Linked DNA regions of Ovis aries. The protein of the gene in region 6 purifies or fractionates together with the protein of the main gene of each other region. This does not show direct contact. Links are inferred from orthologs where the notes say so. Each region holds a gene or a part of one and is shown on either strand. Other genes may lie near its edges.

Region 1 (3,991 bases), on a different chromosome or scaffold from region 6:
AGATGCTGGACAGGTAGGAACGCACATGGACAGAGGGACTGTGGGAAGCGATACTCACGGCGGCAATGGACGGCTTCTTCCCATCGCCGGCGGGGGGGTGAGTGACATCTGCCCCCAGAAAGATGACGGGCTGCTGGAACACTGGAGGCCTGCGGGGGAAGCAAGTGTCAGGGGCCACGGCTTGGGGATGCTGCCCGGACCTCTCAGGACATGGGCACCAGCCCTACTCTGGGGCTCTGCTTTAAAGACTCCTTATCTCTCTGACACAGACAAAGAACATCTGACGGGGACAAAGGCTCGGGGTGAGACCTGCTGCAGAGTGACCCGGAGCGGGAGAGGCTGCAGGCGGCGCACACTGCACGAGGGAGGTGACCGAGCGTTTCCGAGATAGTTGCGTCCACAGAGTCCAAGGTCTGCAGCCAACCCTGGACCTGCGGCCACACTGCAGGGCGCCTGGCAGCCACATCGCTCTCTACCCAGCACCCCAGTGTCTCCAGACACAGCCACATATTCTCGGGGGGTGAATGTGTCCCAGTGGGGACACACAGAGCTAGGCTGTTCTCCCAGGGTCTTCTAAATGCTGGCTACACTCCAGCAGTCACCTCCCCAAAGAGGCAGTGTTGGGGGCCCAGTTCTCCAACAGCTGGTGGGCCCCAGCCTCACTGGCTGTGCGACTGGGAGCCTTCTTGATGCCTCATCCTTCTCTCCTCCCAGACTCACGTGCTGCCCAGGTGCCCTGCACCGAGCCCCCCAGGCTCCACAGCTTTTCCTCTTGCCCTCCCCTTCCTCTGATGGGTCCTGGGTGCACCCACACACGCAGTTCTGACTCACACTTTGAACCGGCACAACCACAGCAGCCACTGGACAGTCCACTCCGCCCCGCGGCTCCCAGGCTCGCCTGGCAGCAGAGCTCTGGGATTAGCTGAGCCCGTCTCCTGCCTCCAGACCGGGCCTCACGCTGCCATGGCAACAGGACTGCTCTCTGCAGGGTCACCTGCACCCTGCTCACGTCCCCCAGCCCTGTGGCCGAGGGCCTCACACCTCGCCACATCTGGCTGGTCGGTGCCGTGTGGCGGCCATGCACGGGCTCCCCGCCACCTCCTCCTGGGCTCCAGAGCTGTCGCCTCGCCTCCACGACCTTCCAACCCTGCACCCCCCAGGGCCCAGGCTTGGCTGTCCTTCCTGTCTACACTGCACCCCGGGGTGCTCTCCAGCCCACAAGCTCTAACTACCACCCACACGTGAGGAGCCCTGAACAAGCCTCTCCAGCACAGGCTCCCCCCAGCCCGCCCCTGCACCCCTGCTTCAGCTGGCGTCACCTCATCGCTCCCAGAGCCCAGGGTGGGGCAATCTAGACTCTCCTCTTCCACTCACAGACCAAACGCATCCTCTCAGTGAGCCAGGCAGCGCCATCGCCGAAACGTCACGGCTCTGGGCGCCCCCGGCCTAGCTCCCACCAGTGGCTCTCCTGGGATGACGCCGGCAGGCCTGGCCCTCCTGTCTGTCCAGAGCTGGGGTCGCCTTTCAGAACAAGGTCAGCGGGGCCGCTCCTGTGAACCTCCCCAGTGGCTGTGTTCCCCTGGAGCGAGTGCCAGGCCCCCAGGCTCGCCCCTCGGTCTCTGAGCCGAATGACCGCCACGCTCCCAGCAGGCAGGCTGCCCCAAGGCCCTTGCGCGGCCTGCACCCTCTGGAGCAGGCTGCTCCTGGTGTCCACACAGCCCTGCCCCCAGTGCCCAGTCTGCACCATGCCACCTCCTCCATGAGGCCCTCACCCTTCTGGGCTCCCTTCCGCTGTATCACTGCTGCTCAGCCCCCAGAGCCTGGCCCTGGCCTGGGGCCGACAGCACCGCCTCCTGCTCGGGAAGCCCCCTGTCCTAGCACTGACCGTAGGGCACCTGGGGTGCTGGTGCGGTCCTCCTGTCTACACGGCACTGGCCACACAGCTGCCACATCTCACAGGCGGGACCCACCTCCGGATGGGGTCAGAGAGCCCTTCTCCTTGGGCCGGCACCAGTCCTCAGGGGCCTTGGACACGGAGACCAGGAGCAGCCAAGACCCTCGTCCTACTCACTTCTTGCGCCTGCCAAGCCTGGGACAGCACTCAGCATAGCTGAGCAGAGCCACCCCAGCATCGCCCTGCCCAGGGTGTCACCACCGCTGCCCCATGCATGGCAGAGGGCCAGCCTCACCTCCCCTGCGGCAGCAGGATGTTGTTCACGCCGCCCAGTTTGACGTTGATTTTCAGACAGAGGTTGGACAGGGTCTGCGGCGTGGTCCTCTGCACGTTCTTCATCTGCACGCACTGCGTGGCCATGCCCAGCACCGTGTCTCCCACACGCTTGACCTCGGCTGCCGAGAGAACAGGGTGCTCAGCACGGCTTCCCGGCGCTCCTCTGCCCACCCCGTGCGCCTGACACACACACGGCCAAGCCTGGACCCAGCTCCGTGCCAGTTGCGGGGCGTCCCCCACCGGCTCAGGGAGGCCCGCTCTCAGTCAGGAGCGTTTCTGCAACTTCTCCAGGCCGACAGGGCAGTGTGCACAGGGCCAGGTTGGAAACCAGGCACTCGGGTCAGCAAGCAAACGCTTGAGTAGTCAAAAATATAAACCCCTGAATCCTTAGTCCCTGGCCAATACAAACCCGATGCCAAAGTGCTCTCCAGGCCTACACCCCCCTCCATTCTGGGTTCTCTTGTGAAGCGAGTGGGCAACTGCTCTCTGGACAGGCCAGCAGAGACGGGAGACCCTGGGAGAAGTCACCCGGGCTTCCTCCTGCTCCTGGATGCAAAGCCCATGGGAGACGGGGAAGCCAGTCAGCGAGCCAATCGCGCCTCTCTTCCCTCTTCCCCATGGTGCCCACACACCTCCCTGCACGGGGCCTCCGGTTCCCACCGGGCTTCCAGCAGACCCACATGCACCCACCTCCCCAACGCTTGCCTACACCCGGGAGCTTCCCCCACCAGGGCCTGGGACTCCATCCCAGGGCTTGGAAACTCTGAGCTAGGTAGAAGTGCAACCGGCCTTCTGGCAGAAAGGACTCTGATCAAATCCCAGAGGATTCTAAGATGGCACGGTTCACAAGAGGAGGGCCAAGTCCCAAATAGGAGCTGAGGACTGCCCCCGCCCCTCCGAGGGGATTACTGCGTGCATATCGTGTGACCATTCTTCATCCAGCCGAAGTCTGTGTCAGCAGCGGACAAGGTAACTGCACGCCTGCCGCATCCCGCACCCCCTCGGGACACCCATCCCAGGGAACCGGGGCCTCAGATGACACTGCCAAGGTGGCCCTGGGCACGTGCATGCCACAATCATACACCACCTGGTCTCACTCAGACACAGGCCCCTCCTGGGTGTGGCAGAGGCCGCACCGCACACCCGTAGGGCCAGGGCAGGGGCAGCACCAAGACCTACCGTAAACGGGGGTCTTCCCCGGCAGGATGACCACCACCAGCTGCAGGCCAGCGTACGTGTTCTTCAAGTGCCGGAACATGGGCTCCACGCTGTCCGCCCCCTGGGCATATTTACAGAAGCATGGCTGGCCCTGGATGGGCATGCCCGCATCTCTTGAGATCTTTCTGAGCTGCTCCGTGAAGGACCTGGAGGAGCAGGGTCGTTACATGAAGAACCCAGAGTGCCGACGATCCAGACCCACCAGAGGCCCCGAGAAAGGGCAGTGTTAACTGATCCAGACCCCAGGCCGTTTTCATTGAGCTGAGTCCCTGCTGAAGCCCGAGATGAGGTTGTTTCAACAAGACAATGTACAGAGGCTGCCCACGTGCTCAGCACACAGGTCCCTGAAAAGTCAGAATGTAACAGGAGACGCCATATCGTGGCCTCGCCGCCCCCACCAGCTGTGACCCTCCCAGGCAGCGACAGGGCTGTTCTTTTACAGTCGGGCACAAACAGCTGCTGCCCACTTGCCCGCAGACGCCGAGCACTGTCAGGGCAATGAGAGCCATGAACTGACTATCCCTTTGGATTCCCCCGGTTTAT
Region 2 (4,699 bases), on a different chromosome or scaffold from region 6:
ACTTCTGTTAGGTTTTATAGTGTCTTGTTCAAAAGTCTCTGAATCATTGAGACAACCAGTTTAGAAATGTGAAGCACATTTATTTGAACCAGTTAGTTTGACAAAACACTGTGGTTAAGACAATCCAAACAAAGGATCATTAAAAGCCAACTTACATTTAACTTGCCCTATCTGATGATCAAAAGAGTTGATTACAAGTTAGATGGATAAAGGAATGGTTATCTCACAGAATAAACTTAGAACCCGAAGAACTGCTTTTATCTTGGATTATCAATTGTTCACCTACAAATATAATCTAGATCCATTTAACAAATGCAGCAGAACAGAAGGCACATATATACCACAATCTTTAAAACACACACACAAATTACTTAAAAGGCTGCAAATTATAGATCACTCCTAATAGGCACACCTGTGATAGCCTATCGCCACACTGGGTCAAAGGTCAAAAGCAGTGTTTCTCAAACTAAGGCTTACAGGCTATTATCACCTGGAATTCTCCTTAAAAATGTACTTCAGACCCAATGAATCTAAGCTAAGAAAGAACTCAGGAATGTGTACTTTTATCCTTTCAAGGTAAGCACACAAATTCGAAAACCACTGGTTTAAGGGTGAGGCCAAAGTAAAATCAGAGTAAGACTGAAATACTAACAAATTCAGAGATCACCTAAAAAGTGGTCAAACACTGGCATCAAAGCAGTCCCTGCCTTCCTCACTAGTAACCCATTATCAAAAAACTGATGAGAAAATGTGGCCTTGGCCTGTCCCAAGGCAGTGTAAGAACAGATGGAAAATTCCTAAAGATTTTGGAAGAAACAAAATGTTTCCTCAACTGCAAACGTGGAAAACAGACCGTCAAATGCTTACAATCTCTTTTGCTTTCTGAGCGTTTGAGTAACTAGTGGGTTTTTGCCAGCCAATTGTGTGTCTAGGCTTGATCTTGCCCACTTGGTTTCCCTCAGTAGAGTCCATTTCAGAAACATTCGGTATTACTTCTTACTCTTGAAGTTCTTTCAAACATCCAGCGTAATAGGGGTGTTAAGAAATACAACGCTGCGATGACCGCATCACACCTGTAAGGCCAACACTGCTGTCAGCACGCACACTGCTCTACACCCTGTAGCTGCACCACCAGCCCGGGCAGCCATCTTGGAAAAGATGCCCGGCTGACAGGGACCACGAAGAGCACTGTGAGCGAACTGCCGTCACCATCCCACTGCTACAAACAACTCAAAGGGTTAATCCTTAAGATGCAGTTTGCAGCTCTGCCTTCAAATACAAAGACGAATGTAATCGTGGACTAAGGTCACTGTAAGCTACAACCAAAGATTTAACAGGTACGATTTGGGGGGACAAGGAAGTAGGAGGAATAAGGCAATAAGACCTTAGTCAAAATGACATACTTGCATTGTCAAAGCACGTTACCTCCAAAGGTTAAAAAGTTGTAAATAACCTACATAGTAAACAGCGGCTCACAATTTCAAATACCAATTTCAGTAACATAGAAAAGAATGACGGATAAAAATGCGAGGTGTCTAAGCCTAACAAAATCACACCAGATCTTAGCTTTTTCTCAGTTCGCCCTGGTAAGAGATGGCTCACTCACTCCGCCTGCCTTTTAAATCGCTTTGTATCTTTCAAGTTAGCTAGAGATCAACATTTAGCTACAAAACAAAGACAATCTCTACGTCTCCTAATCCTTTCGGTCACCAAGGAAAACAAAACCCCACTAGCCCTACACCAGGGATGGCAACCTACACAAGCGCCAACAACCCCAAGTTCCTAAAGCCTACAGATGGAGGAGAGCAATCAAGAGGCAGGACAGGGCTTCAGCGGCGGTCATCTCACCTGTTGATGAAACCATATCCGTTTCTTACATTGAACCATTTTACTGTTCCCAAAACCTTCGTTGCTGAAGGAGAGAGGAAAAAAAAACCCACAATTACTAGACGTCCTTTTTCAAAACCGCCACGCTTCAGCATCCGGTGGCTCACGCATTCCCTGGCAAAGACCCATGGCCACCTGACAGCCTTTTTCCCCAGGGCCTGCCGGCCATCCGCACGGTCCACGTGGGTGAACCCACCGCAGCAGAGGCCCCGGGTCAGGCCCGGGGCGCGGGCCCGAGCTGGGTGTGCGCGGGGACCGCGGGCGGCGGCGAGCACGTGAGAAGGGGGAAGCCGCCCGGCCCACTCCGGCCTGCGTAGGCGGCGCGCCGCGCCCTCAGGGTACACGCGGAAGGGAGCGGGTGGGGGACGGAACAACGGCGTGCGGGCCCGGGCGCACGCGGCCGGCGGGCACGGAGGGGAGGGACCCCGCCGCACACGCGGTCGGCGGCGCGCGGCCGCACAGGGGGAGGGGCGCGCGGCCGCGCGGGGTCCGCAGGGGGCGCGGGAGGCGGCGCGCGCGCGCGCTTGCCGGGCACGCGGACCGGGCGGGCCAGCGTCCGCGAGGGCGCGAGTGGGGGGGCCTGGGGGAGGGGCGGCCGCGCGCCGCCGAGACGGTCCCCGCCGGCCGCGCGCCCGCCGGCTCGCCCCGCTTCGGGTAACGGTTCCGCCGCCAGACTTCCCTACTTGCCCCACCCCCGTCCACGTCCGGCTCTCACCGATGACCTTCTTGTCCCCGCCGGCAGGCGCCGCCGATGTGAGGCCGCCCGGGCCGCCGCTCCCTGCGCCGCTGCCCGTCGTGCCGGGCTTGGTGTCGGCAGCGCTGAGGGCGGGGGCGGCGGGGGGGGCGGCGGGCGGCTGCTGGGTCTCGGCCTCGCTGCTCATAGTTGCGGTGATGGTGACTGGGGCCGGCTGCGGCAGCTGCGGCTCCTCCCGGGGTGTGATGGTAACTAGGCCGGCGGCGGCGGTGGGGCTGCTCAGGGCTCTCTGGGGTCCGCTCTCCGCTCCCGCTACCGATCGAACTAGCGAGAATGGCGGGACGGGCGGGATAAGCCCTGCGAGCGACCCGCCCTAAGCATCGTTCACTGGTCAATAGTGTTGTCAATCTCACCACCTGACCACAACTCCTAGTTTCTATTGGCTAATAGTCTTTCACTCCTCCACTCTCATTGGCCTTTAGGCGGCTAATTCGGCCGACCTACAACCGTTCCTGCCTCTGCTGCCGCCATAGAGACCGGAACTAGAATTAGAGTAGAGTCACCACGAGAACCATAGAGAACCGGAGAGGACGGGCAAGAGGGGACGTGACTTTCACGAGGCTGCAGCCGGGGTGGGCCGGCTCCAGGTCCAGGGTTGTGTCCTGGCCGAAGGAAAGGTACGGCCAGATGCCTGCGCCGGGATTACCCGGCCTGACCTGGGGGCTTGGAACGGGGCCCGACGACACCATAGCTGCATGTGGAGAAGGCCTCCCTCCCGCCCTGCTCCAAATATGGTCCCTGTGACCTCAGACCATTACTGCAGATAGAGCCGTCTTTTCTACAATGGCCGTGTACTCGCGGCACAGCCGGGAGTTTCTGGAACATACTTAAACGTCTCCATTCAAAGAGCGTCGGTTTACGGCGAACCAGTCACTCTGCGGGGGGGATCACGCTAGCTATTAGGAAGCCCCTGTTAAAAATATTGAGGGCGGAGGGCGGGGGTGTACTCCATGGGGACCTGCCTTCCAAGCACAGGAGGACTGTCTTGTTAAGTATTCACATCTTTTTGTATTGGCCACAAAAAAAGATTTAATTTCAACTCACGTTTATTGAGCAAGCTAGGCATGTTATTCTTACAACGGCCATAATTGAGGCTGCCACACGAAGTAGATGAAGCCCTGCACCTTCGTTCTTTATAAAGCGTCTGCTCTCTCCCGGGGATGGACAAGTTCGCCAGTTGCAGCCTTCTTAAACTCAGTCTAGGGATGAAGGCACAAATTCAAAATGCGACATACCAAACACCCCAGCGCTGCTAACGCACAAAGCGTTTTGGGAGTGGCCGTGGGAAGAAGGTAGAGAGCCGACTTCAAGCACATGGAGGTTTATGCAAAGGCATAGAGGGAAGAGATGGGGGTCTGGGGGAAATGCAACTAAAGTAGTTATGTAGGACCAGAATGAAGACGCTGGGTTATACAGGAAGGCCGGGTTAAATTAGGAACATTTTATCTGAAACTTAAGGGCAGTAGTGAGAAGGGTAATTTTAGAGTTGAAATGGGGACTGGAATGATTTTTTTTTTTAATGCTAGGGAGTAGAGAATGGGTTAGAACCTTGGAAGTAGGGAAGCCGCCTAGGAGGCTAGTGTGGTAACACTTACCCTATCGGTATCATTTAGGCTGTCAATTCCACCTCCTAAACGCCTCCCTGAATCAGTCATAGAAAATCTCTAAATGCCAATCCAGTCTTTATTCCTACTGCTGCTACTCTGATGTAGGCCATCATCATCTAGTGCTCATTGTAGGGGTGGCTGTTTAGTTGCTAAGTCGTGTCCGACTCTCTGTAACCTCTATGGATTGCAGCCCACCATATTGCCCTGTCTGTGGGATTTCCCAGGCAACAATACTGGAGTGGGTTGCCATTTCCTTCTCCAGATCTTTCCAACCCAGGGATGGAACTCATGTCTCCTTCATTGGCAGGCAGGTTCTTTACCACCGAGCTACCTGGGAAGCCCCAGAGCAGGGGTAAGCACACTTTTTCTCTAGGGGTCAGATGATTCTGTCTCAACCACTCAGCTTTACAGAGCCTGAAAGTAACCATAGGCAGTCAGTAAACAAGTGCAT
Region 3 (3,991 bases), on a different chromosome or scaffold from region 6:
AGAGATTAAGCAGTTAGAATTCTAGAGTTGTGAGGAAATCGGCGGAAGTCTGTAGTATTGAATAGGTAACCTAGTATTAAAAAGGTAATGCAATATCATGAGTTTGTATTTCCTCCCTACCTTCTCCTAATAAAGGATATACACCACAAAGTATTATCTCTGAACTTCAGTGAATGTCATACTAAAATTCGTCACGTGGATGCTCATGCAACCTTGAGTGATGGAGTAGTGGTCCAGGTCATGGGTTTGCTGTCTAACAGTGGACAACCAGAGAGGAAGTTTATGCAAACCTTTGTTCTGGCTCCTGAAGTAAGTTTTCGTTTCAATTAATTTTCATTTATGTGATTTCATTTTGCAGTTAACTAGTTGCTGGAAGTGGCTAGAGTTTCCTCTTACAGGTATAGATATGCATGTAGCTGTTTTTGAGAAATCTGTGTTGGACCTGTTCGTTTTTTGAACTTTCTGCGCTTTGACCATTGAGCAGAAAAAAACGAGATCCTGATACAAATGTGCAAACAGATGATTAAGATTACAGAAGTAATATTAAAAGTGTGTTAATAGTTTGAAAGTAGTCATTTCTTGAGTTTAAGTATTCTGCGATTTTCTTCATATTAACATTATAGCATGTTAAGCTTTGGAAAATTATATTTAGTCTATATATTATTTCTGTATTAAAATAAAAACTTTATTCTCTTTATGTCATACCATGTTTATGGGTATTTATGGAGTATTTGGGGTGTTTTTTTTTTATAGGGATCTGTTCCAAATAAGTTTTATGTTCACAATGATATGTTTCGTTATGAAGATGAAGTATTTGGTGATTCTGAACCAGAACTTGATGAAGGTGAGGTTACTTTCAAGATACAAGGGTTTTGTTGGTATCAGTACTCTTTAATAACATGTAAAGTGTGAAACTTACAGAAATTTGACTCTGTAACTGAGTCAAAGCCCCTTTGCTCCTTTTTGTTCTTTTTTTTTGGTTTGTTTAAAAAACAGATGTTCTTTATATGAAATTATATAAAAATCATACACAGAAAGTAGAAAAAAAATCTCCCTCAATGTCATCTCTATAGATAACCAAGAATTTGGTGCCTACTACAGAATTTTGTTATATTCTATACCAACTGATACTTTCCTAAAAGTGGAAGTAGCTGATTCAAAGCTAGGCCTTTTTTTCATCTAATTTATCTTTGTTAGCTGTTGATATTTTTTTGTCTGTACCATAATTATTTAATCTTCTATTGACGTACATCAGCTTGTTTCTTATTCTCTGTCATTATTGCTTCATTGAATTAATGTGGCAAAGGAAACTGAGTTATGACTTTAAGACCATTTTTTCTGGGGACTTTGCTGATGGTCCAGTGACTAAGACTCCGCACTCCCAATGCTGGGGGCCTGAGTTTGATCCCTGGTCAGGGAACTAGAACCCACGTGCTGCAACTAAGATATGGCACAGCCAAATAAATAAATATATATTTTTTTAAAGACCATTTTTTCCTACTCTTTCCTTTTCTTACTAATAGATCTTTTTAAAAAATAGTGTAATTCCAAACTTCTTCTTGCTTGCTCTTTTTTAAGAGAACAAGGAATATTAAGTGCCTTTGTACTTTCAAGAAACACGCTATTTTTAAACTATTTTATGATTTCTTTGAACATTAAAAATATATATATGAAATTGTATATTAAGCCTCTTAATAAAAGATGTGGTGTATTATGTGTTGTCAGAATCAGAAGATGAAGTAGAGGAAGAACAAGAGGAAAGACAACCGTCTCCAGAACCTGTGCAGGAGAATGCTAACAGTGGTTACTATGAAGCTCACCCTGTGACGTAAGAATAGTGCTTGCAAGGCCACCTTTGGCCTAAACTATTCATATCATGTAGTTGCAAGTGGTTTTTGTTCCTAGAATTGTTGCTGAAAGTAAATTCTTGATAAAGCTATGTAGCCAGTGCCTGAGTATTTACCATGTATATGCAAGAAATTTGGAAAGCATTCTTACGTTTAATTCAAAAATCGAATGTGGGTTTGACCTAAAAGTGATCACTTGCTAATAATGTGTACTGTTTGGAACAACACAGAGTACGCATTTTATTTTTTAAATAATGGGTTTTCCTTATTTCCTAATAGTACTAAAGTAAACATGTTGAGTAATCCAGTTTTTACATTTAGGTTAAAGAAATGCTGCTTGAGAGTATTGTTCCTTCTGCCTTCTGGTTCTTAATGAACTTTGCTTCAAAACAGTGTATATTACTTGTTCTGCCCATTAATTAGAGAAATGCTGAATTTTCTCCTATTTGAGTTGATCATTTCACTCCTGCTGAAAAGTGAACAAAATATTTTGTTGTAGTAATGGCATAGAGGAGCCTTTAGAAGAATCCTCGCATGAACCTGAACCTGAGCCTGAATCTGAAACAAAGACTGAAGAGCTGAAACCTCCAGTGGAGGAGAAGAACTTGGAAGAGTTAGAGGAGAAGTCTGCTTCTCCTCCGCCTGCTGAACCTGTTTCTCTGCCACAGGAACCACCAAAGGTTAGATCAGAGGAACTCTTTAGACCCGTAACATCACGCTTTCATACGGTGCCGTTAATGAAGCATGACTTTTGTTCTGTTGTGTTAATTGCTGAATAGTAAACTGTGCTTTTTTATGTGTATGAAAGAAGCTGTGGGGTTTTTTTTTGTAATTCTGAGGAAATCATATTTCACCCCCTAAAAAACACCCCTCAGAATAAAATTTAAGATTGATTCTTATCTGTGTGCAGTGTTTAGTACCATACATGAAATTATTCGAGTCCATGTAATAAAGCCAAGTGTTGCTCTTCCATTCTGTATTAAGTCCTCTACACACGGATGCAAATAGGAGTCATGCAGTTTCCCAAGTTAAAACAAATTGGCCTATTGTTAAAACAAGTGATAACGTGTGCTATTTCTGGTTTAAATGGGAACAGTTTCCTTACTACACCAAACTGTCTTGGAAAGATGAGTGATACCCATAGTGTTTCATTTAAACCTACCTAAAACATCTTTTATCTTTCTGTAAAGTAGGTATATTTGGGTAGTGAGAGGAGGAGATTGCTTGCTCTATTTGTGAATGTCTGTTAAAGTTTCCAGCTAGTACTCTCTTCTTTCCTGTCCTTCCTCTCTCCCCTTAGCGCCATCACAACACCTTATCTTCCCCCCAAAAGGGGAAATAAATTGATTCTATTAGGTTCTTATTTTTCTAGCATGTGTAGTTGTTAGTGGTTTTGCTTGCCACTTGCTCATCTACTTAGAGCATATAGGAACTTGCTTGTGGATTTATTTAGTAGTTCAGACAAACAGTCATAATCTTGCATAATGAGATTTTGAAACCTGGCACATAGACTGGCATGTGTGTGTGTGCCTTTCTTTTTAGGAGTCCTCCAATATAGAGCAATAGTTTAGAAATGAAAAGAAAATATATATTTGGAAGTTTCCCTATAGGAATGTTGGTGGTTTTCCATGATTAGTAGTCTAGGTTTGTTGCATTTCCTGCAGGCTTTCTCCTGGGCTTCAGTGACCAGTAAAAACCTGCCTCCTAGTGGCACTGTTTCTTCCTCTGGAATTCCACCCCATGTTAAAGCACCAGTCTCACAGGTAACCAATCTGTGAACACATTGGATTGTATCCTTGTTACATTGCCAATTGCTTATCTTTTTCATACTTTTTAAAATGAGTCAATCAGAAATTATGGATTAAATATACAGAAAAATTGTATTAAATGTCAGTTGCACCCACTTTAAATGCCAGATCTCCATTCATCATCTGTATAGGTGGTATTTGGGGTATGGGTGTGTGAAATACAGATTTAGTTAGTTTTAACAATATATATTGTCATTTAAAAGCCTTCTTAAAATAACCAAAAAACTCCTTTTTATAAGTTTAAAATATCATTTAGCAAAAATATTAGGGAAGAAATTTGAAAGCCACAGAGTAGTATGGCATTATAAAGAATCGTTGTTTTTTTTAAAACAGAAA
Region 4 (4,790 bases), on a different chromosome or scaffold from region 6:
GAGGACCAGGGGCATCGACTAGGCCCTTCCCCCAACATTCAGGGGCCCAGCTGTGCCACTAGGGAACTGTCTTCACGCATCTCCTCTCTGGCTCCCCACCTTCAGGTAGACTGGTGCCTGGGCCCCGCTGTCTCTCAAGGACTTGCTCAGGTACTTCCTTCTTGTCAGCTTCCTAGGGACACTCATTCCAAACCTTTCCAAAGTCTGGCCTGGGGCTTCTTTACGGGCTCCACAGCCCAGAGTGCAAGCTCCTACCTCCCAGGGGGCACACTCAGCCCCAGAGCCTCCTGCAGTGTGAACCCCAACAGAGTCAGTGACTGTCGAAGTTTACAAGTCAAGAAAGTATCAGCCTGGGCTCCCTAGTAATCCAGGGCACATGCCCTAACGCAGCAGGCAGGCATGTGGCGTGAAACCTCCAACATCAATGTTCCACAACTCTGAATACAATTCCTGGACAGTGTGGAAAGAGCGAGTTCCACTGACCCAAGTCCCTCCAAGCATCTCTGCTGCTCATAGCACGCCACTGGGGCTTCAGGCTTTCCCAACCTGACACTAAGGACAAGCCCTCCAGGTGCATATCAGTAATTTCCCCTAGAAGCATCTCGCCCCAACCCCTCCCAGCACACCCACCTCCCTCTTCAGTACACCCCACTGCATGCTAGAGGAGCTTAAGACCTCCCACAGAACACCAACCGTCTAGACAAAAATTCAACTACTTTTCATGAAAAGATCATTTTTTGAGTTGAGCACTCTGGCCAGATGACACCAAGTTCCACTTGGAAACCAGCACCTCTTAGAAACAATGTCCACAACAGAAACACAGCGAGGCACTTACTTGAACGATAGCAGGATCCTGAGGGAGCGTGTGCTGAGCTTTCGGAGGTTCACACACAGTAATATCTTTGATATCACTTCCCCGGAAGATGATGTACTCATAAATCTCCTCTCTAGGGGGGGCAGGCCTATCTGTGGGACGGTCTTCAGTACCAAAGGACCTCACTTAGGGGTTGAGAAAAAGAAGGGTTAATTTGTTGTCCTCAACCAAGTGCATTCAATCAGTCCCCTCCTAGGAGCCATCCACAGCACCCAGTTTCCATGTTTCAACTAATACCCACCCACAATTATCAATGGAGAAGATGCCATTATCAACTGACAAGACCCCAGCTGTCGAAGCTCCAAAAAGTTCTAGGTCACAAAGGACAAGGAAAGATTCATGAAGCTCAATGTTCTCACTTTCAAATACAAGCCAGCACTCTCACAAAATGAGTCGTCTGGTTTGCAGAACCCCCGTTCACGTCTGACTTAGCAGGTTAAACGGCCCCAAAGCTGCTTTTTGATTGAAACTTCACGACACATCAGCCCTGGGGAGTCTGTTTTCAACTGAGAAAAGCTGTGGGTTGAGTGCTATCCCCACCCTTCTGTCCACAACCAGCCTGGGAGGAGCTGGTAGAGAAACAATGGGAGGGGGGGCCCTGAACATGGACGCCCACCAGCAGTGTCACGGTCTCCTAGAGGAACTTCCTAGGGGGTTAATCCTTAATGGCAGGGTTCAAGGAGCCCAAGCAAGTGTCTCCTGGGATCTCTGAGGCACAGATGGGCTTGAGGCTGCCTCTAATTTGAGCACACTGAGGACCAGGGACTACTCTGGGCCTCAGGTTTTCCAACCAGGGTCTCAGGCCAAATGCGGTCAAAAAGTAAAAATAATTATAATCTTATAATACTAGTTAGTAATTAGTACTTATACTAACACAATACTAACAGTACTTGTATCAACACCTCCTGGAGCAACGCATCCATCAAAAAACTTAACAACTAGTCTTTGGAGGACCTATTCCCAGAGCTGGGAACTGACTGCGACCTAAAGGCCTGGGGCTCTAACACAGGAGCGTGCGCGCTACGCCTTGACCCTTGAAGTCCATGACAATGTCCTTAGCCTAACAAGACCCACCAACCACACGGGGCTTCTGTAGACCTGGCTGCACGCAGCACTTCTAGGAGGCAGGGGAACCACACTAGTTACCTTCCCGGAGGATGAAGACAAAGGAACTTTGGGGCCACCTCCTGCCTCAACACACTCAGAAAGACTCTGGGCTCCAGCAGAGGCACAATGCAGCCATCTTTTCCCTAGTCTCCCAGGACTTCAGTGGGGTTACCAGCACCCGCAGGGAGGGGTCTGTCACCAAAGGATAAACCCACACACCAAACGTCTGAATTAGAGTAGGAAGGCGCTTTCAAAAGGAGCACCTAGCCGCAAACCGATGCTCTTATCCTGGCAGGAGAATCCATTAAGACGTGGTATTTGTTCAGGCTCAAGGCCCCAGCTGCTTAATAGGTTCCAGAAGGGCTTGCAGGAGTCGTTTTCTCACCCCCTGCCCCCACAGCGTCCCGGAGAGGCCCGGCGAGACTCGGGTCTGCCCACCCCCCCCATCCCTCCCTTCCCCTCCCCTCCCGCCAGGGACCAGGTTTTCTCGGCTCCCGCGGCCCGCGGCCCTAGGGCAGGCAACCCCAGCAACGCCGAGCCCCCACCTATAGAGGTGGGCTACGCCACCATGGAGAACGGGGGGCGGCGCCGCGGGAGCTGGACCCGCCCCCACCTCCCCACCCCAACTCCGGGCTGCGCGGGGCGGCCGCTCACAATTACGCCGCCTCCGGGGCCGGGGGAGCCCATTGTGCGGGTCGAGCCCCGGAGGGCTACAGCGGGACAGGGGCGGAGGCCGGGGGCGCCGCGGGGGGCGCGGACCGGATGCGGGGGCGCGCAGGGGGGCGGGGGGAGGGGCACCCCGGGCGGGTGAGGCGGGACTGGGGAAGGGGCGCGCTGGTGAGGTGGGGGTAGGGCGGAGGCGCGGACCCGGCTGTTGGCGGGGGTGGGGGCCGGACGGTTGGGGCGGCCGCGGGGCGCTACCTTTGGCGAGCGCCACGGTGGAGTTGTCCGTGTCGATGGTGTAGAGGATGCCCTCGTAGCGGATTTGTGCCTTGGAGATGAGGCTGATCTTGCTGCCCAGGTACGGGGTGCCCGAGGAGCCGCTCATGGCGGCGGCCGCCCGGCCGGGCTTGGCCCGCTCGCCTCCGCGCGGTCGCCTCGTCGCCCTCTCCTCGGCCTCGGCGCCGCCTCACCGCCGTGCGAGGGCCTGCGCGGGGACCAGCGAGCGAGCGGCGGCGGCGCGCAGCCGGGGGCTCTGAGGGGAGCGCGGGGGAGGAGGGGCCACAGCAGCCACATCCGGGGCCTGCGCCGCCACGCCCCGCCCCCACACGCTGGCCGCCCATTGGATCGCCTCGCCGGCCTCCCTTTAAATATGGCCGTGCCGCCGGCCTGGGGGCGGGCCCGCGATCTGCTCCTGCGCAGCTCGCGCCACCAGCCCGGGCGGGCTTTTCCCTGCGTTCCGTCCCACTTCTCGGCTGGCTCCCGGCGGGCCCCGCGCAGGGTGGTAGCACGAGACGCGACTGGCAGGACTGGGGGAGGGGTGGGAATCGGCCGGGGCGGAGCGCGCGTGCGCGGGAGGGGCGGGACACACGTGTGGCGAAGGGGCGGGGCGCCAAGTTCTGCCTGCGGCGCGTGCTAATCTCGCCACCCAAGGGCAGGGAGCCAGTGGACAGTTCACGGTTCTCAGTTTCCTCTTTATAGCAGCTTGCCGGACATCTTTCCCCGGCCCTGGGCAGGAAGGCCAGCGTGCGCCTCAACTCTCCCGTTCCCCAGGGGTGAAGATTAGGGGCTCCCTTCCTCGGGGAGTGACGCGGGCCGAGGTCACTGACCAAGGAAGTCGGGGTCACTGCCCGTGGGGTGAAGGTGGGAGGCCGGGGAGGTCTCTTCCTTGAGGGTAGAAGGTAGGAGGCCAGGCCATAATCATTGCCTGCGGGGTGGAGGCGAAGGGTCGTGGGGGAGGGTCTCTTCCTCGGGCGGAAGAAGACAGGTGATCAAGGTCACTGCCTAGGAGGTTAGGGTGGGGGCTGCCCCTCGCGCGTGGGGCGCCGTAGTAACTGCGGGTAACGAGCGCTTCCGGCGAGTTGGCCGCTAAATATAACATGCTGAGCGCATCTTCTCCTTTAATCCCGCCCCTCCCCCTCTCCTGCGGTGGCGTTCCGTGTCCCTTAAAATAAATCCCAGCCGCGCCACGAGAGCCTCCGAGCCCCGCCTGACCTGGCCTGCGTGCCTCCTTGTCCGGCTCCGGCTGGAGGCCTCGCAGTGAACTGGGGAACCGGTCTCCCCTCCTGTTCGCCAGACCCCTCTTGCCTGCACAGCCCTGTATTTTATGGGTGGCTACGTCTGCACTTGCTTTTTTTTTTTTTTTTTTGGTTGGTCTCTCTCTTGACATCAAATCAGAAGCCAGTATTGGGTCGTGTAAAAGCTTAATGAGTGGTGACCAGCATTTTATAAAAACGAAACAGAATGAGGTGGAGAGCATCTCAGGGAGAGTGCTCTGGCTCTGGGAACCGTTTATTTCAGGTACTCGTATTTAAGTGGGTACTTGACCAAGATGTAAAGTGCGTTGCTTGCAGTAAGTGCCCAATGAAAACGTGAGAGCCACCGCTGTGAACCCCTTACCACACCATGCACATCAGCTCTGACTCCCCATTTTACAGAAGAAACCGAGCCCGGGTGTGGGAGGGTCACGCGGCCCGCAGGTTGCAGATGCCACAGACTCCTGCCCTTGTGAACCCCCTGGTCCCACAGGCACCCTGCAACAGAACAGTATTGGGTTGGAGAAAAGGGAGCAGAGAAGAAGCAGAAGATAAGATGAAAAAGTCTTCAAAGTGTAACTGCCGAGATTTAGCTGTGCTTCTCTGCTCCTGGA
Region 5 (3,991 bases), on a different chromosome or scaffold from region 6:
GAAAAATCGAGAATTCCCTGGTAGTCCAGTGGTTAGGACTTGGCGCTTTCAGTGCTGAGGCCTGCGTTCAACAGTGGGTAGAGAACTAAGTTGCTGCAAGCCGGGTGATGTGACCAAAAAGAAAAAGCATTAATAGATAACAGTATCAAAATCGCTGGTGAAGTATACCTAACAATGGAGTTGTCTGCCAGCTTGAAAGGGAAAAAAAGTAAGGTAGCATGATGGAAGAAAGTATAACAGAGCTAGTCTGCTACTTGGAGGCAAGGACAGAGTGCATCAGGATCAGGAAGAACCACACAGTAAGGACTGGTTACTGAGCCAGGAGGAAACTTGGGGTGAGTGGGAATCATACACTGTTCCTACACGGTTTTCTATGTTTAGCCACTGCTCCCTAAAATACAATAAATAAAATAGCAGGTTAAAATAAATTAGGGATGAAACAATGTGATTTCTGACTGTACTGACATAATTCCCTTATTAGCCAGTTGCACATGAGCTAATTCATGTATTAAAATTATTTGTAGCAGAATAGTACTGGTAATTTTCTACTTTGTCTGTTCTTGTCCTGCTTGCTCTTTCTGCTGTTAGCATCCAGGTTCCAGCCTTCACTACCTCTCATTTGTTCTGTTATCTTCCGGACATTTATACCCTTCTTATTGCTGTTCTAATTAAGTTATTTTTTATAATACTAGAAGAACTGTCCTGAAAGCATTAAAACTGATCAAATAGTCTCTATCATTAGAACCTGTTTCTCAAACTCTCAGTGTGTGCAAATGATTCTTCATGGTGTCTGTTGCCATGATTTTTTACTTTGACTCTCTTGCTGATGATAGAGATTTTCTTCATACCATATGTTGGAAAGTATGCTTTTAATTTTCAGCTCTACTGTGGGTTATCTTTATGACCGAAGATAACAAATTTTTAAGCCAATGTATGTGAATTTATCAACTTCCCCCAAACTTTTATTAGGTAACTCCTTACTGTAAAAGCTGGGAGTATTCATTTATGAATTTCCTTTCATGTTTCCTTTGCTTCTTATTTTCATCTCCCAACTTTTCTGAGAATAGAGTGTAAAATAGATACCATCTTAACAGCCCACAGTTGGAGAAGCCTGGTAGTCTATAGTCCATGGCGTCGCAAAGAGTCAGACAGGACTGAGCAGCTTCACTTCCCTTTTCTAACACTTGGTAACTTTGTAGTCTTTCAGAACTATTAAATTTGCATCCTATCCTAGCACCTTCAGCGGTAAAGAATCCGCCTGCCTATGCAGGAGTCATGGGTTCAGTCCCTGGGTGGGGAATGCAGTAGGAAATGCCAGCCACTCCAGTATTCTTTCTTGGAAAATTCCATGGACAGAGGAGCCTGGGAGGCATGGGGTCACAAAGTGTTGGACACGACTGAGTGAGTGAACACGCATGCACACTTGCACCTGGGTAAATTGTCACATACATTAATGTGTTTAAATGATTTTATTGTCCATCTCTTATTTTTCAATGCCATTGTCTCTGTGAGTTCTTTATTTTGATGTAGTAAAGGATAAGTCTGTATGGCTTATATTGCACTAAAGTTCTTTATTTTTTTTTTTTTCCTGGAAATACAGTGAAACCTTCTGATCATATTTAGGTCCTTATGTCAGGAAATTTGTTATATCTTTAGTTGCATTTTGTCTTACTTGTTCTGTTGTCTTTCTGAGAAACTATTCTTATTATGTTTATTCTGCAGCTATGTTTGTCTTACCTCTTTTTTTTCTTTCTTTAACTCTATGTGTTTTCAGTATGTGAGTTTTACTTTTCTTGAGAATATAAAGCAGTTCTTTCTGAAATTTTCTTGTTTCATCCTTCTTTTGGATACATGGATATCATTTGAATGGTTTTGTTATGCCTTGGATAGCCTAATAGAGCTTCTCTTTGGTTTTATAGATGGAAGACCTTTAACCCCACCCCACCTGCCCGCAGCTTCAGGATGAGCTGATTTGTTCCTTTGGAGGTCTGGGACTTAATAAAACTTTGTATGGTGGTAATAGTGCTGGTGCTGAGTTTAGGAGTGGGATTGATCCATTTGTAATTTTCCTAGCTTTCTTTTTGGTTAAAGGACAAAACATAAAACCATGTCTGTTACTTCTGCCCTGATACAGTATTGTTTGGCCACCAGAGAGAGAGAGGAGCTTCAGCTCTGACATTCTACATCTTTTCCTTTATCACATCTGTGTCCTCATCCATCAAGCTGGAGTATGCCTGGGAAATTCTTAGCATGCTATATGTGGATTCTGGAGTTGGCCTTCCAGAGTGGACTAACTCAAAAAATATCTGCATGATACTTTTTAATAAAGTTTTATGGTATAGGTTTGAGGTATTTTCTTGGTTTAGGGGTATTTTAACTTTTTAATTTTCTTTAGTTATAGGGTGGAATAGTCATCTGCAAACCTACAACTATGCCATTATCTTTTCCTGAAAGTCTCATAAGTACCTCAAAAAATTTTTAGGATTAAGAAAAAGGCATTTAAGCTGAAATATTATCTTCAGTCTAGCTATGGATAAGTTCTGCAGAAAAATATAAAACTTTGCACAGTGTTAAGGGATTTGCTTCCTCTAGGGTACTCTTTAAATGAATAATATCTGATATGGCAGGCTTTCTTATTTGGAGTGTCTATGGGGATGTCAACATTTTCAGAAGTCTCCTAAGAGAGTGAACCTGAAGCTTTAGTATTAATAAGAAACTCTTGAGGAATTGATTTAAAATATAGATATAGATTTCTGTATCCTCTTCACAGAAAATCTGAGTCAGTGGATTCCAAAATCTTTTTTTTTAGCTAGTTTACTCTGAAACAGCTGGTCACAGTTCAACTTTGAATAATGCCATCCTGAGTGTTAGAATAGTCAGATTTAATTACGAGGTAGATATTTTAGGTAACTAGGGCATTTCAGGCTGTCCCATGGAGCCGAGTAGCTCACAGAGGCTTTACTTGGTTTCTAGAGGATGTACTACTAACCAAGGAAGATATTCTTTTCATTGTCTTATCTTAAACCTGAAGCTCAATTTCCCGACTTTGGGATTTTTGTAGATTGGGAAAATCTTCACCACACACACACACACTCTCACTCACTCACTCACTCACTCACTCACTCACTCATACGAGTTGCCAGTTTTTTATTTTGCTGAATGGGAACATTAAAAATAAATCAATAATGAAAGGGCTTTTTTTAGCACCTCTTACCACAACCACCAAAGATGTAAGTAAGTGACAATGTAGAAAGAACACAATACTTTCTAATACAGTATTCATAATACTGATAGTCTTTTAAATTGAACACATGTAACTCTATGCAAAACCCACTTTCTTTTCGACTTTAAAAAAGATTTACTTTAGCTACAAATTAATGAATGCTTTCTCATGGAGGGCATTTAAGTGCCCCTTAGTATTATTGAAACAGTGCACCATAAAAGGCGCTATCTGAATACAGTGAGTAGACGCCTGTCTCATATCCTCTGTTTTCTTACCAGTTCGGTCCTTTGGTACAGAAGACAGACCAACAGATCGTCCAATACCACCTCGAGATGAAGTCTTTGAATACATAATATTCCGTGGGAGTGATATTAAAGACCTTACTGTTTGTGAGCCACCAAAACCACAATGTTCTTTGCCTCAGGACCCAGCTATTGTTCAGGTAACGTTGTAAATCTGTCTTGGAGTACAAATAAATTTCATACACATAACTAGCCTTGGATTTTACCTCCTTGTTTTAGTCTTTTAAATTTTCTCTATTGAATATTCATGGAACTTATTACCATTTTCTAGTTACCTAGATACCCAGAATAACTGGGTAATGTTCTCATCCAGGTTTCTCTCTTTAGATGATAAATCAGAACTAAGTAGAGTAAGAAATAGCTGAGGGATTTTTTTTTTTCCTTTGGCTCCGCCACACAGCATGTGGAATCTTAGTTCCCATGTGGAAGCCTGAAATCTTAACCATTGGATCACCAGAGAAAACCA
Region 6 (3,991 bases):
CCTATGCTGCTGCTGCTGCTAAGTCGCTTCAGTAGTGTCCGACTCTGTGCGACCCCACAGACAGCAGCTCACCAGGCTCCACGGTCCCTGGGATTCTCCAGGCAAGAACAATGGAGTGGGTTGCCATTTCCTTCTCCAACACATGAAAGTAAAAAGCGAAAGTGAAGTCGCTCAGCCGTGTCCAACTCTTAGCAACCCCCATGGACTGCAGCCTACCAGGCTCCTCTGTCCATGGGATTTTCCAGGCAAAAGTACTGGAGTGGGTTGCCATTGCCTTCTCTGGCAGTCCCCTATAGGCATCTGATTTTGTAGCTCCCGGTGACTAGTTAAAACCAAAGAATCTATAAGGTTTCAGACTTCAGTTCAAGCCTTGACTCTTCTATGTATCAGTTCTGTGACCCTGCAACAGTTACTTTTCTAAATCTCCATTCTTTCATATATAAAGAGATAAAAATTATATAAAATAGCTTCTATAAAGCATGCAGCACAGTGCCTGGAAAAATTAGCTGTTAATAAAAAACATCTCTCAATCTTCTTTAATGGGGATGCTTGAAACCATGAAAGAAAATAACAAAGAAAACATAAAAAATTTTCTTTTTGGTCATGTAAAAACTTCAAGTAATATAATATCCAAAGCATCTAACAGAAAAAAAAACTGTCAATAAAGCAGACAATGCTTTCAACTGTCTTTTAAATTTTCACTGATTTAATGATAACAGCTCATAATTAAAGCCCCCCCCCCCAAAAGATCTCGAGTATTCATTCAGGAAGATAAGGACGTATTTTACTTAAAGCTTCATCCCACATAATCCAAGATACTCTATCACAGGAAACTATTTGCCACCAAATCCAAGAGTTCTAAAGCCTTTCACCCCAGTCTATAATACCACACCAAAGTCTCTGAGCATTTTCAGTTGAACATCCTAGTAGGACAGCTTGTCACATTGTCAAATTCACTAAACAGTGGATAAAGATGCAGACGATACAACGCAAAATCTTCCCACAAAAAAAATCATCATCTTAGAAAGTTAAAAAATTTTTAATGAGAGATTAACTAACAGAGATAGGTATTAACTATCTCTGAGACATGGGATCTAGGAGTCTTCACAGAAGAGATGGTATTTCAACTGAAATTTAAAGAGTCACAGAATTGGAAAAAAGCTATTTAAGAAGAGCAAAAAAAAAAAAAAGGCAAAATCCACTGCAGTCTCAAATCAGAGTTTAAGCAGAAAATGCTCTCAAAATGGAATAATGCAGCTTTATGTTTCAAATTAAAAGTAGACTAACTGTTGCTAGTCTATTCATATTTTGTCAAGACAAACTGCAATTTAGAAAACATTTTTTATTTCTAATTATTCACCTCAAAAATAATAATATGCATTAATGTCAATTCTCCCAGTGACCAAATGAATTCTGTTGAAAATTTGGGCTATTTTTCTTTAGTAAATGCTTCTTTTAAGCATGGAAAAGACTTTGATTGTAATAAAACACACTTTTGAGTTTCATCACATTTCTAGAGGTTAAATCAACTTACACAGCTAGATTCTTAACAAACACAAATACCAAATGGGTCAAGATTCTTAATTTTCTATTAAACTGATTCTTTGGAATCATAGTCACCATTCACATACTTTAAAGTGTACACTTAAAGAGAACAGCCTGCTGCTGCTGCTAAGTCGCTTCAGTCTGTCCAACCCTGTGCGACCCCACAGATGGCAGCCCACCAGGCTCTCCCATCCCTGGGATTCTCTAGGCAAGAATACTGGAGTGGGTTGCCATTTCCTTCTCCAATGCATGAAAGTGAAAAGTCAAAGTGAAGTCGATCAGTTGAGATGACAGCCTAAATGCTTTCAAATTTAAAAGAAAAATATTCCGTAGTAAAATAAGGCTCTTAGTTTTTAAAAGTCTTCAAAGAGGTTTGGGACTATTCAGAGATGTGTTCCAAACTGTTTGAAGTCCTGAGTTCCCTATGATATAAACTGCTAATTATTTTGTGTATGTGTAAAAGGAGAAAGCGTATTTTAAAAATAAATAAAATAGGACAGAAAAGCAAAGCGTCATAGACTAAAAAAAAAGTTATGGATAAATTTTCTGAGTACCTCTGAAGTTCAGAAAGCTGGACAGGTCTTTAAGATTGGCTTTAACTGCCATTCAAACTAGGATAAAGTCAAGTTATCACACTAGAAAAAAAGCCATACTGGCAAAAACAAGATGAATTTGAGCTCATTATGAAAAAAATTAATATATATTATCCGTGCCTATGTTTGTTACTTAACAAACCTGAATTAATTACGACAGAGAGACATTCTTCTATCACAAATACCTACTGACCATAAACAGTCAACTGTCCTCTATTCAAATCAAAATGGTTAAACTAAAATGGTATACATAAAGTAGTCAACAACAAAGTAGCGAAATATATCTCCTTGGTCCCCCAAGTGTGTTTATTATTTATTCTAACACTTACTTAATAGTGGTGGTCATACTCTGTGCTTGCTGCTGAGTGCCATTATTGATTGCGTTGGTGTTTTTCAGCTGGTTCATCTGTTGCTGAGTCTGTGCGCCCCCTCCTCCAGGGCCACCACTGGGCTTCACAGGACCCCTCAGCTGACCATTTTGACTGGACAGACCCATTATAACAGGGTTCTCTGTTCTGGCCGTGCTCATGCTGTATTAATTTTAAAGATGTCTCTTTCAAACTTCAAAACTTTTGAAAGTCAGTAGAGAAACTGTAATAACAGTTTATTAGGCTCTCCAAAACGAAGAGATAAATATAAGTCTTGCTCAATATATGAGTCCTTTATTGCAATGCAGGCAAGCACCTGTAAGTCTCTGAACGGTAAGCAGCAATAACTTGCTCTCATGCAGGAATCAACTCTTTAATTTTTTAAAAAGCCCTCTAACAAGGTTGAGTATGTATCTGAATCTCACTTCAATCTGAAACAAAGAAAAAAAGTTAAATCAGCAAACAGTAAATTTTGAAGAAAAAAAAAACACCCCTTTGTTGTTTCCATTTGAAGAACTCCTTTATAAGCACTCTCTTCTTTTAAAGAATTAAGGATACAGCTGCATGTAGATCAAATCACTATCCAGGATAGGAAAGAGGGGGGAAAAAAATGAATTGCTTCAAAAACCAAACCTGCACTGAGACAGATCTCATTTAAACTGTCAGTTCAAACCAACCCAGAAAATATCAGGTAGAACAATACTGTGATTAAATTAGCATTAGCTGTCAGATGATAATCTCTTCCCTTCAGTTTCCTCCCGGAAGAATTCTCTAAAGTCCCTGCCACCTCTAAAAGTCAATGATTCATTACAATCAATTGCATTACAACTCAATGAAGAATGGCACAGCTTAATTAATGTAAATCTACAAAGGAACAAGGCAAAACCATTCATTCATTTTTTTTTCTGTTTCTGACAACTGAGAATCCTTGAAGAGTTGAGCTTTTGATTTCACTTTGTGCTTTCAGAAAAGCATTATGTATGCCCTTATGAATTTGAACCAAAGAAGTTAAACCTGAAGAAACTACACTTTCTTTTTCCCCCTAAGTTTTTGCCCTTTAAAAACAATAACTAAAGCAGTCAAGGGACATAAATACGTCTACATGTCAAAATCTTCTGTTCAAAAAACAGCCAAGAAAACCTTTAGCTATCTTACTTAAGTCTGACTACTACAGAAATGTTACATTTTAAAATATAACTCTTTCAAAAGTATGTCTCAACTTGAAGTAGCAGTTTAATTAAAAAAAAAAAAAAAAACAACCCAACACCCCACAAAAAGGAAATTGTTATTCAGTCACAAAGTCTCACTCAACTGTCTGCGACCCCACGGACCCCATGGACTGCAGCATGCCAGGCTTCCCTGTCCTTGACTACCTCCCAGAGTTTGCACAAACTCATGTCCATTGAATCGGTGACGCTATCCAACCATCTCACCCTCTGTCGCCCCCCCACCTCCTGCCCTCAATCTTTCCCAGCATTAGGGTCT
Region 7 (4,285 bases), about 52 Mb from region 6:
GTATACAATTTGTTTTTATTTACAATACCCTATAAAAATGTAAATTTAGAAACTTCTTAATTAATTAAAACCAAACAAAAAAGATAAAAGCACAGAAGAGAAGAGATAATCGTCGAGCCTTCACCTGATCGGCTGTGAAGGGAAGGCAGGGGGTGATGGCAGAGGGGAGGAGGGGCGCACAGGGCACAGGGGGGAGAAGTACAGGCGGAGAATAGGACAGCCGGCTGGAGCGGAGGGCCTCACTGCTGTACAATACATTTATGTGCAAAATGTTCATTTGGGTATTAAATACCGGAACCTGCCCCCCTCCCCACTACATTCAGAAAGGTGAGAGCAGCGAGGTGTGCTCAGGACAGGCGGGTGAGATCAATCAGATGCTGTCTGTTCAGGGCTGGCATCACCAGGGACCCAGGCCCTCATCTGGGTGACTGCGGAGCGGTAGAGGGTGGTGACGGGGCCACAGGCGCCCCCCCCCCCCCCCCCCCCCGGACACAGACCCAGGCCCTGGCTGCAGGCGAGACCAAGGGGCTAGGGCAGCGCTTCCGCCTGCCGAGCCGAGGGACCAAGGGGCGGAGCGGCGGCCTGCGCTCCCGCGGGGAGGTGTGGAGGCCCCCCCAGGACACCAAGTGCAGACAGGGAAGGGGACGTCAGAGCATGGCTCACTGCAGCGGTCTCAGGAAGACAGAGCGAGCGCGCTGACGCTGCGCGGTGGCAGCAGGCTCCAGGCCCGCGCTCCCGCAAGCCTCCGCGCACCTGCAGGCGCGGCTCAAGCGCCCGCGGCCAGAGCGGGGCCGGAGCGGGGCCGAGCCTAGCCGTGTGCCGCCTCCACTGCTGCGCTCAGAACCGAAGGAAACCCGGGCGGGGAGGAGACAAGAACGGCTCAGCTGAGGGCTGGGCACCGGCCACTGAGCGCACTGAGCTTATTACGCGTGCTGCATACCCTATATTTTATTAGAACAGGGAGAACCCATCAAATCAGCAGAGGATGGATGAGGAACAGATTAAAAACACATCAGCTGGGTTGTGGTTAGAGAAGGGATGGTGTGCCAACTAAATTTCTCAGTCTAAACTCGTTCTTTAAGGGCCCTCTGGAGGCCACATAAACATATGTGTCGGGGTGTGTGTGTGCGCGTATATATTTATATCTCTACTTCATCAGCTCTCCTACAGTCATAGAAATAAGGGGCGATGAGGGAAGGGATTCTGTGGCAGGCTACAACCTACTCTGAGTTGGAGCGGTGGTGGGGGGATGAAGGGAGAGGTTATGTTTGTGTCTCAAGGGCAAAGAAAAGGCAGGATGGAGAAGACTCGAGTAACGTGGGACATGCAGGACTGTCACACAGAAGGTAAGAAACCAGCCGAAGTGTGAACCCAGCCACGCTTCACAGAGCAGTGGGCAGGACCTGGCATTCAGAGACAGCCCCTGTGAATGGACTCGGTCCCACCAGACGCTCTGGGGAGTGAGCTACCTTCCCTCCCTCGTTTAAAACAACACTCCATTGGCGATGGCAGCAGAGCAGGAGGCAGCCAAGAGGAGGCACAGGACGCGCGTGGAGGCCTTTACCGTATCCCCTGAACTAGCCTACGGCACAAAGAGAGAGAGGAGACCTGTGTGAATGAGTTCAGAGAGCAGTCATCTGCACCAGAACCCAGCCCTGTGTGACCTCTCCTATCGGAACACTGCGAGATCTGGACCCCAGCTGCTGTCCCACTGGGAGGGTTCTGCTGCGGCCACAGTGCTTTACATCCAGCAGACACTCGTGTATTTCACAGAAGTCTTTAATCTCTTCCACTGGGCTCACGGCGTCTCACGCCCCTCTCACCCCCAACCTCCTCAGCGTAGCTTCTGAAGTGCCAGCTTCAGGGAGATGTGGGACCCTCCTGTTTCCAACTTACTGCAGCTTTGTCTCCAGCAAGTTCAGTTTCTGTCGGTCAACGTAGCGAGAGAAGAGGGATACTAGGTTTGTGGGTATAGAGACTGGCTTGGCCAGGCCCGTCTGGGGAATCCGCAAAAGTTCTCGGGTTGCCACGAACATCACCTCCGTCCTAACAGGGAAAACCGAGAAAAATAATAATGTAAGAAAAGGAATGAAAAAGAGGACCTGAAAGAACTTCAAAGAAGAAACACGGCCCAGACTGACCACGGGTTGCTTTGCGCCGATTCTGAAGCGGTGTCTGAGCTCTGTAGGTCTTCCCCGCGGCTCAGGACGAGGAGGAGCAGGGACAGGCCAAACTGTGAGAGGAGACAGAGGGTGTCAGATGCCGCACTGACGGCCGGGGCCAGCGCTGAATGCAGGCACCCTCCACCGTGCTGCTCCGAGCCCACGCAGAGCCCAGAAGGGTCCCTCCTGACTCGGCAGCTCAGGCTCTCAAGGGCAACGGGAGCCCCGGGCCCCACAGCCCCCAGCTCCCCCATCCCACCCTTTGATGAAAAGCAGACTCTTCCCTGCCACAAGATGGGGGTGGGGGGCGGGTAGCTTTTCTCCTATTTACTAGAACAGAAATAGAAGGGAAAGTTACAAGAAGACAAATTTTGATACAGAAAATTAAAAGTTTATAGAAAAAAACAAAAAAAGTAAAACATAGAGTTTGAATTAAGAAAACAGGTGTTAAAGCCCTGTGGGAAAATACACAAAGAAAGGGAAATGGAATGATTAGGCTATGAAGAAAACATTCCCTTAAAAAATGACATACATATCTGGAAATATAAAGGCTTAGAGGATGCTAATGAGAGTTTGAAAGATGAAGAGAGGATGAGCAGATCCATCCGCCGTATCTAGGACTGCTAACACATGAATATTTATTTCACTCCGTGGGCAGGAAGAGCAGAAAACACAGACTCTAAGGGGCAAAAACACGGGCGAGGCCGAGGCTGGACGCACGGGTCACGGCTGCCAGGGCCCAGGAAGGGAAGCGGGCAGGTCCTGGGACTCCAGCCCCCCGTCTGAGTCCACCTCACGGAGGATATCCTCGCCTTTCCACAAAGGTCCCTTCATGTCACTGTCAGAAAAACAGCAGGTCACATCATCTCATCTGCCTTCAGGCTTTTGCACTGCCTTTATCAAAATAAAGCTAAGGGACCGAATAACGTGGAAGGCACACAACTCCGGGACCCCGTCTCGCGTCCCGAGGCCCCGCCGCCCTCTCCGTCTCCGAGGCGCTCCCTGCCCTTCCAGCCAGGCTCTCCAGGTTTTCAGGTGCAGAAGAGCACCCCCCCACCCGCCCCGGGTCTCCTTGTCCCTCTACTGTAGCGGATGGTCCCGAGTGAGCGCCACTGCGTACCCAGCACTAAACTGCATCGTTCACGGCCGCCTGCTCACCTAAGTGACGCCGACATCACCTCCACTTTACAGATCAGGAAACCGGCTCAGCAAAGTGCAATGACCGGTTCACGGTCACAAACCTAGGACGCGGCCGAGGAGGGGTGGAAACCTGCTCTGCCTAAAAGCGCACCGCTCTCCTTCTGTACTGACTCCTGGGAGTCTCTGGACCTTTAATCTGATATAAATGAAATATGAACTGGGATGTCTTGTGACAAAGACCGCTCATTACCTACCTAATCCTCTTTCCTCCTACTAGATCTGACTCTACCCGTGGTGACAATGGCGTGAACTCAGAGATGTTTCCAGCCTTCCCTGCACTCGGGTGTGGCGTGAGACTACGAGCTGGCCGTTGAGATTAAGTAGAAGTCGGTGGTTAGAGCTCCGGGAAAAGGTCCAAGTGAGGAGGCCAGATCCCCCACACCCTTCAGCCCTTTAAACCCACCTCTCCTCCTGGTGCAGAGCGGAGCTCTAAATTCCACACCCACTGAGGACGCAAGCGTGGCAGCCGCTGCTGGGAGGGCACAGCAGGGGACCAAAGGAGTCTGCACCCCAACACAAACCGGGTTTTCTCCACGTGAGGTACAGAGCACCCTGTCTTGTGAAAATCACTACCACCTCCAGCTTCTGTCACCACGAGCTTAATGGAGCTCCCGGCTGAGGCTACAGCTGCAACCCCCTAGCCCTCCTGTTTCCCGCCAGCAGCCACCATTTGTACCCGTTCCTCGGGCTGAGAAGGCTCGCAGGGCTCAGGGCTCACCTTGTTCTGGAGCACGGCAGAGAGGTGCGGGTTGGACGGAGCTGGGGCCGCTGCACTCTGAGGTAGGTTCATCAGCTGCTGCAGAAGGCTGGTGACGGTCACTGGTGGAAGATGGTAGAGGAGGAGAGAGAAGGGACTCAATAGGCACGGCAGCACCTACCGGAAGACAGAACGGACAGGCCATCACAGTCTGGTAGCTGCTGCT

What was found.
Region 1: the proteins of DDX6 (region 6) and AGO2 purify together in Homo sapiens (affinity purification with western blotting; 5 studies listed by BioGRID and IntAct, with this or other methods). This does not show direct contact. The link is inferred for Ovis aries from reciprocal best matches to the Homo sapiens genes DDX6 and AGO2.
Region 2: the proteins of DDX6 (region 6) and YBX1 purify together in Homo sapiens (co-immunoprecipitation; 4 studies listed by BioGRID and IntAct, with this or other methods). This does not show direct contact. The link is inferred for Ovis aries from reciprocal best matches to the Homo sapiens genes DDX6 and YBX1.
Region 3: the proteins of DDX6 (region 6) and G3BP2 purify together in Homo sapiens (affinity purification with mass spectrometry; 3 studies listed by BioGRID and IntAct, with this or other methods). This does not show direct contact. The link is inferred for Ovis aries from reciprocal best matches to the Homo sapiens genes DDX6 and G3BP2.
Region 4: the proteins of DDX6 (region 6) and LSM14B purify together in Homo sapiens (affinity purification with mass spectrometry; 4 studies listed by BioGRID and IntAct, counting the BioPlex papers as one, with this or other methods). This does not show direct contact. The link is inferred for Ovis aries from reciprocal best matches to the Homo sapiens genes DDX6 and LSM14B.
Region 5: the proteins of DDX6 (region 6) and LSM14A purify together in Homo sapiens (affinity purification with mass spectrometry; 4 studies listed by BioGRID and IntAct, with this or other methods). This does not show direct contact. The link is inferred for Ovis aries from reciprocal best matches to the Homo sapiens genes DDX6 and LSM14A.
Region 7: the proteins of DDX6 (region 6) and PATL1 purify together in Homo sapiens (affinity purification with mass spectrometry; 6 studies listed by BioGRID and IntAct, with this or other methods). This does not show direct contact. The link is inferred for Ovis aries from reciprocal best matches to the Homo sapiens genes DDX6 and PATL1.

The regions. Positions count from the first base shown.
Region 1 is NC_056062.1:16,051,005-16,054,995, reverse strand, and holds part of AGO2 (protein argonaute-2), read right to left. Parts: intron 3,595-3,991; coding exon 3,410-3,594; intron 2,350-3,409; coding exon 2,190-2,349; intron 150-2,189; coding exon 59-149; intron 1-58.
Region 2 is NC_056054.1:17,182,516-17,187,214, reverse strand, and holds the start of YBX1 (Y-box-binding protein 1), read right to left. Parts: upstream 2,908-4,699; 5' UTR 2,769-2,907; coding exon 2,603-2,768; intron 2,348-2,602; exon of another isoform or gene 2,057-2,347; coding exon of another isoform or gene 2,023-2,056; intron 1,913-2,022; coding exon 1,849-1,912; intron 1-1,848. UniProt on the Homo sapiens protein: DNA- and RNA-binding protein involved in various processes, such as translational repression, RNA stabilization, mRNA splicing, DNA repair and transcription regulation.
Region 3 is NC_056059.1:91,239,418-91,243,408, reverse strand, and holds part of G3BP2 (ras GTPase-activating protein-binding protein 2), read left to right. Parts: intron 1-135; coding exon 136-309; intron 310-753; coding exon 754-844; intron 845-1,725; coding exon 1,726-1,828; intron 1,829-2,346; coding exon 2,347-2,527; intron 2,528-3,511; coding exon 3,512-3,610; intron 3,611-3,991.
Region 4 is NC_056066.1:54,762,802-54,767,591, forward strand, and holds the start of LSM14B (protein LSM14 homolog B), read right to left. Parts: upstream 3,179-4,790; 5' UTR 3,030-3,178; coding exon 2,903-3,029; intron 2,422-2,902; exon of another isoform or gene 1,144-2,421; coding exon of another isoform or gene 1,116-1,143; intron 1,000-1,115; coding exon 836-999; intron 1-835. UniProt on the Homo sapiens protein: mRNA-binding protein essential for female fertility, oocyte meiotic maturation and the assembly of MARDO (mitochondria-associated ribonucleoprotein domain), a membraneless compartment that stores maternal mRNAs in oocytes.
Region 5 is NC_056067.1:44,115,405-44,119,395, forward strand, and holds part of LSM14A (protein LSM14 homolog A), read left to right. Parts: intron 1-3,501; coding exon 3,502-3,665; intron 3,666-3,991. UniProt on the Homo sapiens protein: Essential for formation of P-bodies, cytoplasmic structures that provide storage sites for translationally inactive mRNAs and protect them from degradation. Acts as a repressor of mRNA translation. May play a role in mitotic spindle assembly.
Region 6 is NC_056068.1:29,122,757-29,126,747, forward strand, and holds part of DDX6 (probable ATP-dependent RNA helicase DDX6), read right to left. Parts: intron 2,938-3,991; 5' UTR 2,668-2,937; coding exon 2,468-2,667; intron 1-2,467.
Region 7 is NC_056068.1:81,406,357-81,410,641, forward strand, and holds the end of PATL1 (protein PAT1 homolog 1), read right to left. Parts: intron 4,237-4,285; coding exon 4,081-4,236; intron 2,234-4,080; coding exon 2,142-2,233; intron 2,047-2,141; coding exon 1,897-2,046; intron 1,583-1,896; coding exon 1,561-1,582; 3' UTR 934-1,560; downstream 1-933. UniProt on the Homo sapiens protein: RNA-binding protein involved in deadenylation-dependent decapping of mRNAs, leading to the degradation of mRNAs. Acts as a scaffold protein that connects deadenylation and decapping machinery.